Linked DNA regions of Anolis sagrei. The protein of the gene in region 1 purifies or fractionates together with the protein of each later gene. This does not show direct contact. Links are inferred from orthologs where the notes say so. Each region holds a gene or a part of one and is shown in the gene's direction. Other genes may lie near its edges.

Evidence for each region. Proteins that work in one complex are often made in the same cells at the same time.
Region 2: the proteins of CXXC1 (region 1) and SETD1A purify together in Homo sapiens (affinity purification with western blotting; 16 studies listed by BioGRID and IntAct, counting the BioPlex papers as one, with this or other methods). This does not show direct contact. The link is inferred for Anolis sagrei from reciprocal best matches to the Homo sapiens genes CXXC1 and SETD1A.

The regions. Positions count from the first base shown.
Region 1 is NC_090022.1:193,735,532-193,742,430, forward strand, and holds the start of CXXC1 (CXXC-type zinc finger protein 1), read left to right. Parts: upstream 1-3,876; 5' UTR 3,877-4,101; coding exon 4,102-4,104; intron 4,105-6,323; coding exon 6,324-6,439; intron 6,440-6,899. UniProt on the Homo sapiens protein: Transcriptional activator that exhibits a unique DNA binding specificity for CpG unmethylated motifs with a preference for CpGG.
Region 2 is NC_090026.1:14,488,122-14,495,268, forward strand, and holds the start of SETD1A (histone-lysine N-methyltransferase SETD1A), read left to right. Parts: upstream 1-4,139; 5' UTR 4,140-4,282; intron 4,283-4,295; exon of another isoform or gene 4,296-4,430; intron 4,431-7,147. UniProt on the Homo sapiens protein: Histone methyltransferase that catalyzes methyl group transfer from S-adenosyl-L-methionine to the epsilon-amino group of 'Lys-4' of histone H3 (H3K4) via a non-processive mechanism.

The DNA.
Region 1 (6,899 bases):
CAGTTTAGGTGATGTGTCAAAACTTCGTTCCATAGAGGTTTTCCAAACTTGAAATGCAATTTCAACCCTGGTCCTTAATTTTGTTTCTAATGTTTGTTGTTATACATATTTTTAATTATTTCTAAATTTTAAGTTGACCTAGACCTAGAGGCTCTTTTTGAGCCAAATGGTGAATTAAACACAGTGTTATCAATTAATTATTTCTAGGTACTTCACTATTATATCAGGTGTTACCAGCCACAGTTTAGACAAACACTCTCAGCCTTTTGTATGCACAGGTTCAACCATCCACAGCTTGAAAAAATATTTTCAACTCATTAAACAACCCTATTTTACTATGCCATTTTAAAATAACAGGACTCCAGCATTCACAGATTTTGATATCCACAGGGACCAAACCAGCAGACATCAGGGGCCCACTGTACTTATAACATTGAACTCAACCATGTAGGCATTAAGCACAGATAACATCTCTTCCCATATGCATTTTCATTGCAACTCTTGCACTGGCTATAACGAAAAACCAGACAACTGCAAAATTTGAAACTGATGGCTTGAATGCCACATTTATTAATCAATTCTTGAGCTTATATGTAAGGTTCTCTAAAACTGCAAGACCATGTGTTTAAAAATAAACCATGCAAAAATCATTCAAATAAACAATGGTCCCCAGCCAAAGACATGTTCATATGCCTTCAAATACCTTAACTATGAAAAACTTCAATAACCCGCAACATCTCAACTACAAAAGATTCAATGTGAGATTAAAAACTGATCTAACTAAAATTTCCTTTTTGGCAGAATCGCTCCAGCAAGCATATTGTTCTATCTAGATAAATGTTATTTCAGGTCTTATCAATAGTGAACAGCTTAAAATAATAAAGACTGCAGCAAATGTTTTCTCTAAAAATAAACCCGCAGCATATTGAACGGCATTTAATGACTCTACAGAAATATTATGCAACTTCTCTTCCCTAGATACAGGATCAATCTGTGCTCAAAATATTTATCCATTTCAATTTTTGAAAATACTCTACAGAAATCTTGGGAGGGAAAAAATCAAATCTTCAGCTTGCAATTGGACAAAAATAAGCCAAAACTAAACTAACATCACTTCTGTAAGCCCCTGGCTATTGTGTTTCATTTGGAAGATCTGCGAGGTGTGCGAAGAATACATATTGGCAATCAAAAAAACCTTGACACTTTATGCCAGTTTTAAAACATCACACATTTGCTAACATATTTATCAGAAAAAATGAAAAGCTGAGGGTGAAATACCATATTTCATTGACTGAGATACAGCCCACTTTTGAAGTTCCAATTTAGGGGGAAAACCTATTTGAACTTTGATTTTTAGATTTTTTTTTTTATAGTCCTCACCCCAACTTTTCTTGTTTCTCTCTCTGGATTTCCTGGCCAGCCTAAAGCCTCCTCAACCTGTACCTGATGCTGTTATCAGCTGGTGCATAGTTTCTCATCTCTGGGCTGCCACTTTTTGAACCTTATCACGCTACAGCAGTGGTTCTCGACCTGTGGGACCCCAGGTATTTTAGTCTTCAACTCCCAGAAATCCTAACAGCTGGTAAACTGGGATTTCTGGGAGTTGTAGGTCAGAACACGTGGGGATCCACAGGTTGAGAACCACTGTGCTAGAGAATGGATCCATTTTAAACCAGTGGTTCTCACCCTGTGGGTCCCCACGTGTTTTGGCCTTCAAATCCCAGAAATCCTAACAGCTGATAAAATGGATGGAATTTCTGGGAGTTGTAGGCCAAAACACCTGGGGACCCACAGGTTGAGAACCACTGCTTTACATCCTGTGGATGCCTCCCGCAGAATTCTGGGGTTTGTAGTTTAATGAGGTCCAGGACCTGCCTGGCTGAGCATTTTAAAGGCCCTTTCTCTAAACTACAAATGCCAGAATTCTGCAGGAGGCAGACACAAGATTTAAATGGATAGGTGCTCTAGGTTGATGAAATCCTTAATTACTGCTGTCACTCTAGTATGGTCAGTTTTTTAATAAGGGAGATTGGAGCAGCAGCTGAGATGGGGTCTTTTGCTTGCTTCGCGAAAGCATTTTTCACTGGCTTAGAGTGGCTAGAAGACCTGGACCCAGAATCTGGCTTCTCTCTCTCTCTCTCTTTCTTTGTGTGGCTTTGCCCATTGGGAGTGGAAGTGGCAGACCCAAGTGGCAGACCCAAAGAGAGGAGGAAGACTGGAATAAGGAAGCCATGAGTGTGAGGCAACAATGGAAAGGAGGAGCAATGGAGAGCTGCTACTTCACACTCCGGGTGCACAGGACTTCGTCTCATCTCTTTTCTGCTGTTAGAATGTTTATTTATTTACTTACTGTATTTGTATACCGCCTTTCTCAGCCTGCAGGCGACTAAAGGCAGTCAACAGGGCAAAATTCAATGCTTACAATGTCTTGTTGTTGTTCATTCGTTCAGTCGTCTCCGACTCTTTGTGACCTCATGGACCAGCCCACGCCAGAGCTCCCTGTTGGCTATCACCCCCCCCCCCCCAGCTCCTTCAAGGTCAGTCCAGTCACTTCAAGGATGCCATCCATCCATCTTGCCCTTGGTCGGCCCCTCTTCCTTTTACCTTCCACTTTCCCCAGCATCATTGTCTTCTCTAAGCTTTACTGTCTCCTCATGATGTTCCCGAAGTACTTCAACTTTGTCTCTAGTATCCTTCCCTCCAATGAGCAGCCGGGCTTTATTTCCTGGAGGATGGACTGGTTGGATCCCCCAGCAGTCCAAGGCACTCCCAGAACTCCCCTCCAACACCACAGGTCAAAAGCATCTATCTTCCTTCGCTCAGCCTTCCCCAATGTCTTAAGTACAATTAAAAACATAAATAACATATAACAAAAACTAAACAAATCAATAAAATATAAGTTTATAGTGTCTCCTTGTTAAAAACATTGTACGGACTCTTTGTCTAATCATTCCATTTTCACATGTCAGTTATTCTGCATTTGCAAATGCTTGTTCAAAAAGCCACGTCTTGACTTTTTTCCGGTATGTAAAAATGGAGGTGGCCGATCTAATACCTGTAGGGAGGGCATTCCACAGCCAAGGGGCCACCACCGAGAAGGCCCTGTCTCTCGTCTCTGCCAAACATACTTGAGGCGGTAATATTTGCTGGATGGCTGAATAATGCAGTTTTCCACATTTAAAAGAAAAGAGAGAGAGAGAGAGAGAGAAAAGGGGGGGGGGGTTAGCAGCAACTTTGAGTCTATGGTTGCTCCTACACTATTAAACGAATGCAGTTTTGACACTGCTTTAACTGCTATGGTTTAAACTTGGGATTTCCAGCTTGATAAGACACCAGCACTCTTTGCCAAGATAAGGCAAAAGACCTTATGAGACCAGAAATCCCAGCATTTGAAGCATGGCAGGTAAAGTGGTGTGAAACTGCTTTCAATCTACAGTGCAGATGCAACCATAAAAAGGGCTGCTAAATGACACCCCCTTAATATTTTTATTTATTAAACTGCATTATTCGAGCGATCCAAACATAAAGGACAGCTTGACATTGAACAAGACAAGCGCTGACAATTACCAGTCAAACCATTCTTAACACCACTAATATCCCAATGCTCCTCCCGTCGTTGCAGTGACTGAGCCACGCTCATGTGCCTTTTTTTCTATATTTCTTCTATCGGCTCCGGAAGCGGAAGCGTCGAGAAGTCACGCTAGCTTCGAAGCAGGACGTTCTAGGAAGTCAAAACAAACAAAAAAATCCCAATGGAACGGCGGCTCCCTTCGCACGCGCCTCCTCGGACTCCTCCTTCAGCGAAAGTCCATTGGCGAGAAGGCGCCAGGCCGCCATTTTTAGCGTAGTATCTCCGAGGCGTCTAGAACTTCAACTCCCAGAATTCCTTATCGTTGGCCGAAGCATCCGAGACTTCTGGGAGTTGAAGTCCAATTGGAGTTTGGGCCTCATTTGGCATGGATAGTCTTTTCTTGTTGTGGCTAATACCGGAAACGGAAGTAGTCGCGGGCAGGCGCTCTGGCCTACTATTGCCGAGCGTCTTGTCGTCTTGTTTCAGAACAAGGGAACTGGCCGAGAGAGAAAGGAAGAGAGCGGGAGATCATGGTGAGGAGGAGGAGGAGCCGGCGGCATTGGGGTCCGCCATTCCCTCAGCCCGGCCTTCCGTTGCTGAGGGCGGGAAGGAGGGAAGCGTCTGTGGGGGGCTCTGGGTTTCCTTCCCAGCCTAGGGAGCCAGTGCTCATGGGCTCCACCCTGGGAAGGGCACTGACCACTAGCAGGGGCCTGGCTCTGTCTTTACCCAGAATGGCTAGCAAGGACTCTCCTGGGTGAAGACAGAGCCAGGCCCCTGCTGGTGGTCAGTGCTCTTCCAAGGGTGCATCCACACTATAGAGTTAATGCAGTTTGACACCGCTTTGACGGCCATGGCTCCGTGCTATGGAATCTGTCGTTTCGTAAGACCCTTGGCCTTCTCTGCCTAAAAGTGCTGGTGACCCCTCGAACTACAACTCCTGTGATTCCATAGCGCTGAACCTTGAAAATGGTGTCAAACTGTATTCATTCCACAGAGTAGATGCACCTCCTCTCTGTCAAAGAGTTTTGCAGAGCCGTTGACAGGTCTTTGGCTTTTGGGAGGCTCCTTTGTGCAGTGATTCTTAGTCTCTTGAGTGCAGCTTGCTCCATGGTAGGTATGCACAAGTCTGCAGCTTTATTGTTGTTGTTGTTTTGTAGAAATCTGTCTGGAAGTATGGAGGTGAAGCAAATGTCACTGCAAAGATCGGCGGCTAGATTGTTAACTGGAGCAAGTTACAGAGAGCGGTCAACCCTCCTGTTTAAATATCTCCACTGGCTGCCGATAAGTTTCCAGTGCAGGTTATCATAGAATCATAGAGTTGGAAGAGACCTCATGGGCCATCCAGTCCAACCCCCTGCCAAGAAGCAGGAATATTGCATTCAAATCACCCCTGACAGATGGCCATCCAGCCTCTGTTTAAAAGCTTCCAAAGAAGGAGCCTCCACCACACTCCGGGACAGAGAGTTCCACTGCTGAACGGCTCTCACAGTCAGGAAATTCTTCCTCATGTTCAGATGGAATCTCCTCTCTTGTAGTTTGAAGCCATTGTTCCGCGTCCTAGTCTCCAAGGAAGCAGAAAACAAGCTTGCTCCCTCCTCCCTGTGGCTTCCTCTCACATATTTATACATGGCTATCATATCTCCTCTCAGCCTTCTCTTCTTCAGGCTAAACATGCCCAGCTCCTTAAGCCGCTCCTCATAGGGCTTGTTCTCCAGACCCTTGATCATTTTAGTCGCCCTTCTCTGGACACATTCCAGCTTGTCAATATCTCTCTTCAATTGTGGTGCCCAGAATTGGACACAATATTCCAGGTGTGGTCTAACCAAAGCAGAATAGAGGAGTAGCATTACTTCCCTGGACCTAGATACTATGCTCCTATTGATGCAGGCCAAAATCCCATTGGCTTTTTTTGCCGCCACTTCACATTGTTGGCTCATGTTTAACTTGTTGTCCACGAGGACTCCAAGATCTTTTTCACACATACTGCTCTCAAGCCAGGCATCCCCCATTCCGTATCTTTGCATTTCGTTTTTCCTGCCAAAGTGGAGTATCTTGCATTTGTCACTGTTGAACTTCATCACCTATAAAGCTCTAAACGGTTCAGTACCTGGCTATCTGTGTGACCGCCTCCTCCCTTACGAGCCCACGCGGTCCTTAAGATCATCCGGGGATGCCCTTCTCTCGTTCCCGCCCCCGTCTCAGGCACAGTTGGTGGGGACGAGAGAGAGGGCATTCTCGGTGGTGGCCCCCCGTCTCTGGAACTCCCCAGGGAGATTAGGCTGGCACCCTCCCTAGTCACATTCCATAAGGAATTAAAGACGTGGATGTTTCGCCATGCTTTCGATTGACGACTTCTATGACAAATGGCCTGTATCATGACTTGAATTGTCATTCAATCTGATGTCCTATATTGTATTAACTATTGTCTGTTTCCGTGATTTTTCCTATGCCGTTATACATTGTCATCTACCTTACTAAACCACTTTATCCTTTAACTAGCTCACGTAGTGGTTTTCCTCCCCCACTCCAAAATTAGTCTGCTGTTGTTGTTGCTAGCTATTTTTGTTATGTTGTTTTATGCTGTTTTAATTGTTATTGCTTTATTTTAATTGTATTCTGCCTGGGCTTGGGCCCCATGTAAGCCGCCCCGAGTCCCTTTGGAGACATGGAGGCAGAGTAGAAAAATTAAGTTTTTCTTCTTCTTAAATGTGTTTGCCATGATTCATTTTTTCTCTTCTTCTGTGCAACTCAGGATGAATTTTCTGACCCAGATCTAGCTGTTCTGGGCGAGGAGTCCAAATCAGAGAATGGAGAGAACGCTCCAGTTTACTGCATTTGCCGCAAACCAGATATCAATTGTTTCATGATGTGAGTATTTCTGAGGGAATTTTTAAAATGTCATCAGCAACTTGAGAAACTGCAAGTCACTTCTAGTGTGAGAGAATTGACTGTCTCTAAGGACATTGCCCAGGAGACGTCCAGATGTTTTACCATCTTGTGGGAGGCTTCTCTCATTTCCCCACATGGAGAGCTGGAGCTGACAGACGGGATCTCACCCTGTTCCCTGAATTCGAACCACCAACCTTTCGGTCACTGGCACAAGGGTTCAATACATTGTGCCACTGTGGCAACATTTCATTGGAATACAGTACATTCCCTGTATCCGGGGTGGGGTGGGCTGTGCTGCTGCATCTGCACAAGGCCTGGGCAAACTTCAGCCCTTCAGTGTTTTGGACTTCAACTCCCACAATTCCTAATAGCCAGTAAGCTGGCTGGGATTTCTGAGAGTTGGAAGTCCAAAGCACCTGGCAGAACGAAGTTTGCCCAT
Region 2 (7,147 bases), on another chromosome or scaffold:
TGTGTGTCATACTTCCCATTCGGAATGATTCAACATCACTACAGGCTGTCCAAAAAATCACCATACATAAGGAAAATGGGAAATTGGAGCTAAATGTACCTTTATTTACAAAATATTCATTACACATTTTTACAAAATATTCTCTACATTTTGGCCACCTCTTTCTACACTAACACACACAAAGTGTAATTTTTTCCTATGTATGGAGACTTTTGTGACACCCTATAGAGATACAAGTGCATTAGCACTACTTCATCAGTTCTGAAAAGGAGATGTACCTATAATCTCGGGGCATTAAAACAAAGCTGGACTTGCATAAAACTATTAATGTGGGATCACCAAAAATAATTTAAAAATAGATTGAAAATAGCGAATTGCATACTCTATATAACTCTCATTTTGACCTCATCAACAGGCTGTGCCACATAATAATAATAATAATAATAATAATAATAATAATAATAATAATATGGAACCAAGCATTTGGAGAGTAGTTACAGTGCAATATGCAGCTACAAAGTTAAGATGGTTGGAATGGCTTTTGGATTATGATTTCAGGACGACGTGCTATGCTTTAACTGCTTATTTAAATGTATTTATATCTTTCTGCTTTTTTTATTTTAATGTATTTATTTATTTATTTATTTCTGACATTTATATCCCATCCTATCTCGACTTCCGCAGAGGGACAACAAAAGCATAAATATACATCTTAGGTCAAAACAGTATAAAACATTATAAAAACATAAAAACAGTGAAACATTAGAACAATCGGCAGAATTAAATCGTCGTCCTACACACAGTCCAATTGAGTCCATTAAACCATAGCTCTACCATCATGTTGCTCTAGTCTGCTGATCCCACAGCCTTGATTTCACCTTTTTCCGGAAGGTCAGGAGCAGGTCTGATTTTACTCAGGAGGGAATTCCATAGCCAAGGGGCCACAACAGAGAAGGCCCTGTCTCTCCCCCTCCCCCCACAACCGCAATTGTAATGATGGGGGGGACAGAGAGCAGGCCCCCTCGAACAATCTTAAGGTCCTAGGTGCTTCGTAGCGGGAGATACGTGTGGACAGGTAAACTGGGCCAGAACCGTTAAAGGCTTTATACTTACTTTCTTAGGCGATTCCTCGTTGTCCGAGTAGGATAGTCTTCCATGATCAGTGTGCTGGTGGATCCGTAGGTGACTGTGCAGCCCTATTTTTGATCTGCATTGTCTCCCACAGTGAGGGCATTGGTTTCCAGGTGGAAGGCGGTCTTGGTTGGGGTTGGCTTGACGCGCCTTCCTCTTGGCACATTTCTCTCTTTCACCCTCCATTCGTGCCTCTTCAAATTCTACAGCACTGCTGGTCACAGCTGACCTCCAGTTGGAGCGCTCAAGGGCCAAGGATTCCCAGTTCTCAGTGTCAATGCCAGAGTTTTAAAGGTTGGCTTTGAGCCCATCTTTAAATCTCTTTTCCTGTCCGCCAACCTTCCGTTTTCCATTCTTGAGTTCGGAGTAGAGCAACTGCTTTGGGAGACGGTGGTCAGGCATCCGGACAACGTGACCAGTCCGGCAGAGTTGATGGCGGAGGACCATAGCTTCAATGCTGGTGGTCTCTGCTTCTTCCAGCACGCTGACATTTGTTCGCTTGTCTTCCCATGAAATTTGCAGGATTTTCCAGAGGCAGCGCTGATGGAATCGTTTCAGGAGTTGCATGTGGCATCTGTAGACAGTGCACGTCTCGCAGGCGTAGAGCAGAGTTGGGAGGACAGTAGCTTTATAAACAAGCACCTTGGTCTCCCTCGGATTTATTATTATTATTATTATTATTTATTATGCCCCAGTCCTCAAACACTCTCTGCTTCATTCGGAAAAAAGCTGCACTTGCAGAGCTCAGGCGTTGTTGTATTTCAGTGTCAATATTGACTTCTGTGAAGAGGTGGCTGACAAGGTAGCGGAAATAATCAACATTTTCGAATGTTATACCATTAAGCTGTGTTTCTGGCATTGGAGAGGGATTGGCTGGTGACTGCTGGAAGAGCACTTTGGTTTTCGTATGATATTGTTTCTAGCACCCACGTTTTGCTTGATATTCATACGAAAGCTGACTGGCACAACCTGGGGATCACAACCAGACACAGTGAAGACATCTGCCCTTGCACTATGCTACTCTGCTGCTGAGTACGCATGCCCAGTGTGGAACACATCTCACCATGCTAAAACAGTGGATGTGGCTCTTAATGAGACATGCTGCATTATCACGGGGTGTCTGCGCCCTACACCACTGGAGAAATTACACTGTCTAGCCGGTATTGCACCACCTGACATCCGCCGGGAAGTAGCAGCCAATAGTGAAAGGACCAAATGTAGTGACATCTCCTACTCATCCCTTGTTTGGGTATCAGCCAGCACATCAACGACTTAAATCAAGAAATAGTTTTCTTAGATCTACAGAGACACTCGCTGGAACACCTCAGCAAGCGAGAGTCCAAAAGTGGCAGACTCAAACCCAGCACCTCAATCCATGGGTGATACCAGATGAGAGACTCCCTCCTGGGCACACAGAAGTCTGGGCGACTTGGAAGGCGCTGAACAGACTGCGCTCTGGCACCACGAGATGCAGAGCCAACCTTAGGAAATGGGGCTATAAAGTGGAATCCATGACATGCGAGTGTGGAGAAGAACAAACCACTGACCACCTGCTGCAATGCAACCTGAGCCCTGCCATATGCACAATGGAGGACCTCCTTGTGGCAACACCAGAAGCACTCCAAGTGGCCAGATACTGGTCAAAGGACATTTGATCAACTACCAAGCTTGCAAATTTTGTGTTTTGATTGTTTGCTTTGCTCTGTTAGAAATGTAATACAATTGTCTGGCTGCCCCTGACACGATAAATAAATACTTTGGTTTGATCGATGTTCAATGACATGCCGAGCTTCTCCGTGAAAAATACTAAAACCTATTATGCTGAGTTTCCTAACTGGATATTTTAAGTTGATTTTAATAATGTGTGGGATAGAAAAGTTTGGCCTTCCCTCAAATATCAACCCAGAATGGGAAAATTCTATTCTGTACTTGGCCTGAATCTTTTCCATCATTTCCCGAAGCCATTTCTACCTCCAGGGACCACAATCCTCCCGCTGCGCAAGCTTCGCAATTTTTTCCTTCTGCCATCCCGTTGTTAGAGCTAGCTTTGATGTCGTACGCGCAGATTCGCGAGGCTCCCATTTTGTCACGAGAGGAAAAAAATACCCAAAGAACCCCCGCTCTTTCCGCTCAACATCCTTTAACCCCTTCTCAAGCAAGAACTTCCATTTTCAAAGCGGAGCCTTTTAAGTCGGAAAGTGCGAGTCCGGAACGGCCGACCAGTTTCCTTTTTCCCCCGTTGCGCCTTGCTCTTGTAAGATTTAGGCTGCTGTTTAGAATCGAATGATTCGTCTCTAGGAGAAAACAAAAAAAGGAGATTCTTACGTTCTATGGAATCACACGGAGACTTTTTTAAAAAAGAAAATCATATATTGACGTAGTTATAATGAGTCTTTTCCTCCTCATCTAATTCGTTCTCTACAGTGTGACGAAAGTAATTTTCATTTTCAAAGCAGAGCCTTTTAAGTCGGAAAGTGCAGATACGGAACGGCCGACCAGTTTCCTTCTTTTCCCTTTGAGCCTTGCTCTTGTCAGATTTAGGCTGCTGTTTGGAATCGAAAGATTCGTCACTAGGAGAAAAAAATAAAGGAGATTCTTGCATTCTATGGAATCACACGGAGACTTTTTTAAAATCATATATTTGTGTAGTTCTAATAACGGGTCATTTTTCCCCCTTTATCCAACTCGTTCTCTACAGTGTGACGAAAGTAACATTCATTTTCAAAGCAGAGCCTTTTAAGTCGGAAAGTGCGGCTCCGGAACATTTGAGCCTCCCTCTTGTAAGATTTAGGCTGCTGTTTGGAATCGAACAATTCGTCACTAGGACTGGAAACAAGAAAAAAAAAATCTTACATTCTGTGGTAGAACCACGGGGAGACTTTTAAAAAAATAGTATAGTTGTGTAGTTATAATAATCATTTTCATTTTTCCCTCCTTCGTCTAACTCGTTCTGTACAGCGTGGCGAAAGTGCGGTTGAGGAAACGGAAGGAGGAGAGAACAACAAACCAAACACCGTCACCATAGAGAAGAACAAGGGTGGCGACGACGAAGGAGAGGGGGAAGCAGGATCTCGCGAGACCCGGCGAGAGTCTCGAATCGGAGGTTTTGGCCCCGCCCACTGGTCCCTGTCGGCAGCGGCGGTGGCAAGAGGTAGCGGGTGCTTGTCACCCTTTTCCCTTCTTTCCCTTCTCCCCACCTTCTCTCGCTCGCTCTTCCTCAGACCTCGGCTTGTCCTCTATGGGCGGAGAGCGGGAAGAAGGCCGCGAGTGGGAGAGAAGAGACTGAGAAAGGCAGGAGGGTGCGCGAGCCAGGCCGGGCCGAGAGGGAGGGAGGGAGGGGGAGGGGGAGGGGGGCGTGCGCGCGCCTGGCTCCTGAGAGAGAGTGAAGGGAGGGGGGAGGGGGCGCGCGCTCTCTCTCTTCCGCGAGGCGCCAATGACGGGTGGGGGGGGGGGGGGCGAGGGAGCGGGAGCGCGCGCGGGGGTGCACCTGGTGGGCGGGGCCGGGCACTGGGCCTGGTTTTGTGTGTATGTGTGTGTGTGTGTTGTTTTGTTTTGGTTTTATTTTGGAGGATGGAGGGCTGGGAAGGAGAAGATAGGATCCTGTCTTAATCTGTGTGTATCTGCATATCGGTATGTCTATCTATCTATCAGGCATGGGTAAATTTGGGCCTCCCTCCAGGTGTTTTGGACTCCAACTCCCACCATTCCAAAGATCCAGAGGAATAAGATAGGATCCCCCCCCCCCCCCCGTATATATGTATGCACATCTATCTATCAGGCATGGGCAAACTTGGGAGAAGATAGGATTCTCTCTCTTCTTTCTCTCTCTGTATATATGTATGTATGCATATCTATCTATCTATCAGGCATGGGCAAACTTGGGAGAAGATAGGATTCTCGCTCTTCTTTCTCTCTCTGTATATATGTATGCATAACTATCTATTTATCAGGCATGGGCAAACTTGGGCATCCCTCCAGGTGTTTTGGACTCCAGCTCCCACTATTCCTAATATCCAGAGGAATAAGATAGGATCTCCCCCCCCCCCCCCCGTATATATGTATGCATATCTATCTATCAGGCATGGGCATACTTGGGAGAAGATAGGATTCTCTCTCTTCTTTCTCTCTCTGTATATATGTATGTATATCTATCTATCTGTCTATCAGGCATGGGCAAATTTGGGCCTCCCTCCAGGTGTTTTGGACTTCCAACTCCCACTATTCCAAAGATCCAGAGGAATAAGATAGGATCCCCCCCCCCCCTCTCTGTATATATGTATGCATATCTATCTATCAGGCATGGGCATACTTGGGAGAAGATAGGATTCTCTCTCTTCTTTCTCTCTCTGTATATATGTATGCATATCTATCTATCTATCAGGCATGGGCAAACTTGGGCCTCCCTCCAGGTGTTTTGGACTCCAACTCCCACCATTCCTAACAGCCATAGGGAGAAGATAGGATCTCCCCCCCCCCCCCCCTGTATATATGTATGCATATCTATCTATCAGGCATGGGCAAACTTGGGCCTCCCTCCAGGTGTTTTGGACTCCCAACTCCTACTATTCTTAACAGCCATAAGGAGAAGATAGGATTCTCTCTCTTCCTTCTCTCTCTGTATATATGTATGCATATCTGTCTATCTGGCATGGGTAAACATGGGCCTCCCTCCAGGTGTTTTGGACTCCAACTCTTCCAATTCTTTGGAAGCTTTTAAACAGAGGTTGGCTGGCCATCTGTAAGGGGTGATTTGAATGCAATGTTCCTGCTTCTTGGCAGAATGGGGTTGGACTGGATGGCCCATGAGGTCTCTTCCAACTCTTTGATTCTATGATTCCAGTTGGTTTGGACTCCCACTATTCCTAAGAGCCATAGGGAGAAGATAAGATTATCTCTCTTCTTTCTCTCTCTGTATATGTATGCATATCTATCTATCTGACATGGGCAAACTTGGGCCTCCCTCTAGATGTTTTGGACTCCAATTCCCACTATTCCTAATAGCCAGAAGGAGAAGATAGGATCCTCTCTCTCTCTTTCTCTGTATATATGTGTGTGTGTGCATATCTATATATCTATCTGGCATCGGCAAACATGGGCCTCCCTCCAGGAGTTTTGGACTCCAACAGCCAGAGGGAGGAAGGAGAAGATAGGATCCACCTCTCTCTCTCTGTATATATGAATTTATATCTTTCTTACTATCTGCATGGGCAAACTTGGGCCTTCCTCCAGATGACTTCAACTCTCACAATTCCTAACAGCCAGAGATAGGAGGGAGAAGATAGGATTCCCACCCCCACCCCCCTTATATATGTATGCATATCTATCTATATATCTATCTGACTTGGGCAAACTTGGGCTTCCCTCCAGGTGTTTTGGACTCCAACATCCCCCCCCCCCAAATATATATATTTGTGTGTATGCTTATCTATATATCTTGCATGGGCAAATTTGGGCTTCCCTCCAGGTGTTTTGGACTCCAACACCCCCCCCCCCATATATATGTATGCATATCTATCTATCTTGCATGGGCAAACTTGGGCCTCCCTCCAGGTGTTTTGGACTCCGACTCCCACCATTCCTAACAGCCTCAGGACCCTTCCTCCCCCCCCCCCCCCCACAACAGCCTCAGGTCCCTGAGGGGGGAAAGGAAAGGTCCTGAGGCTGTTAGGAATGGTGGAAGTTGGAGTCCAAAATACCTGAAGGAAGGGTCCAAGTTTGTCCATCTCTGATGTAGATGTGAGGCCTGTACAACTTGTGGCCCTCTTTGTGTTTGGGGCCCCCAACTCCCAGGAGGCCTAGCCAGCTTGCCCAATGGTCAAGCATTCTAGCAACCAAGGGCCCAAACCACAGGCTGTGCAGGCCTGATCTATAAGGTATTAGTAAGTGTGGGATACAAGAGGGGGGAATATTTCATTTTATATATATAGAAAGAGAGATAATGTGGTATAGCATGGAGAGGTGGTGAGGAGAAAGTCCTGATATATATGGAGTGGAGGAGAAGCAAAGTAAGATTAAC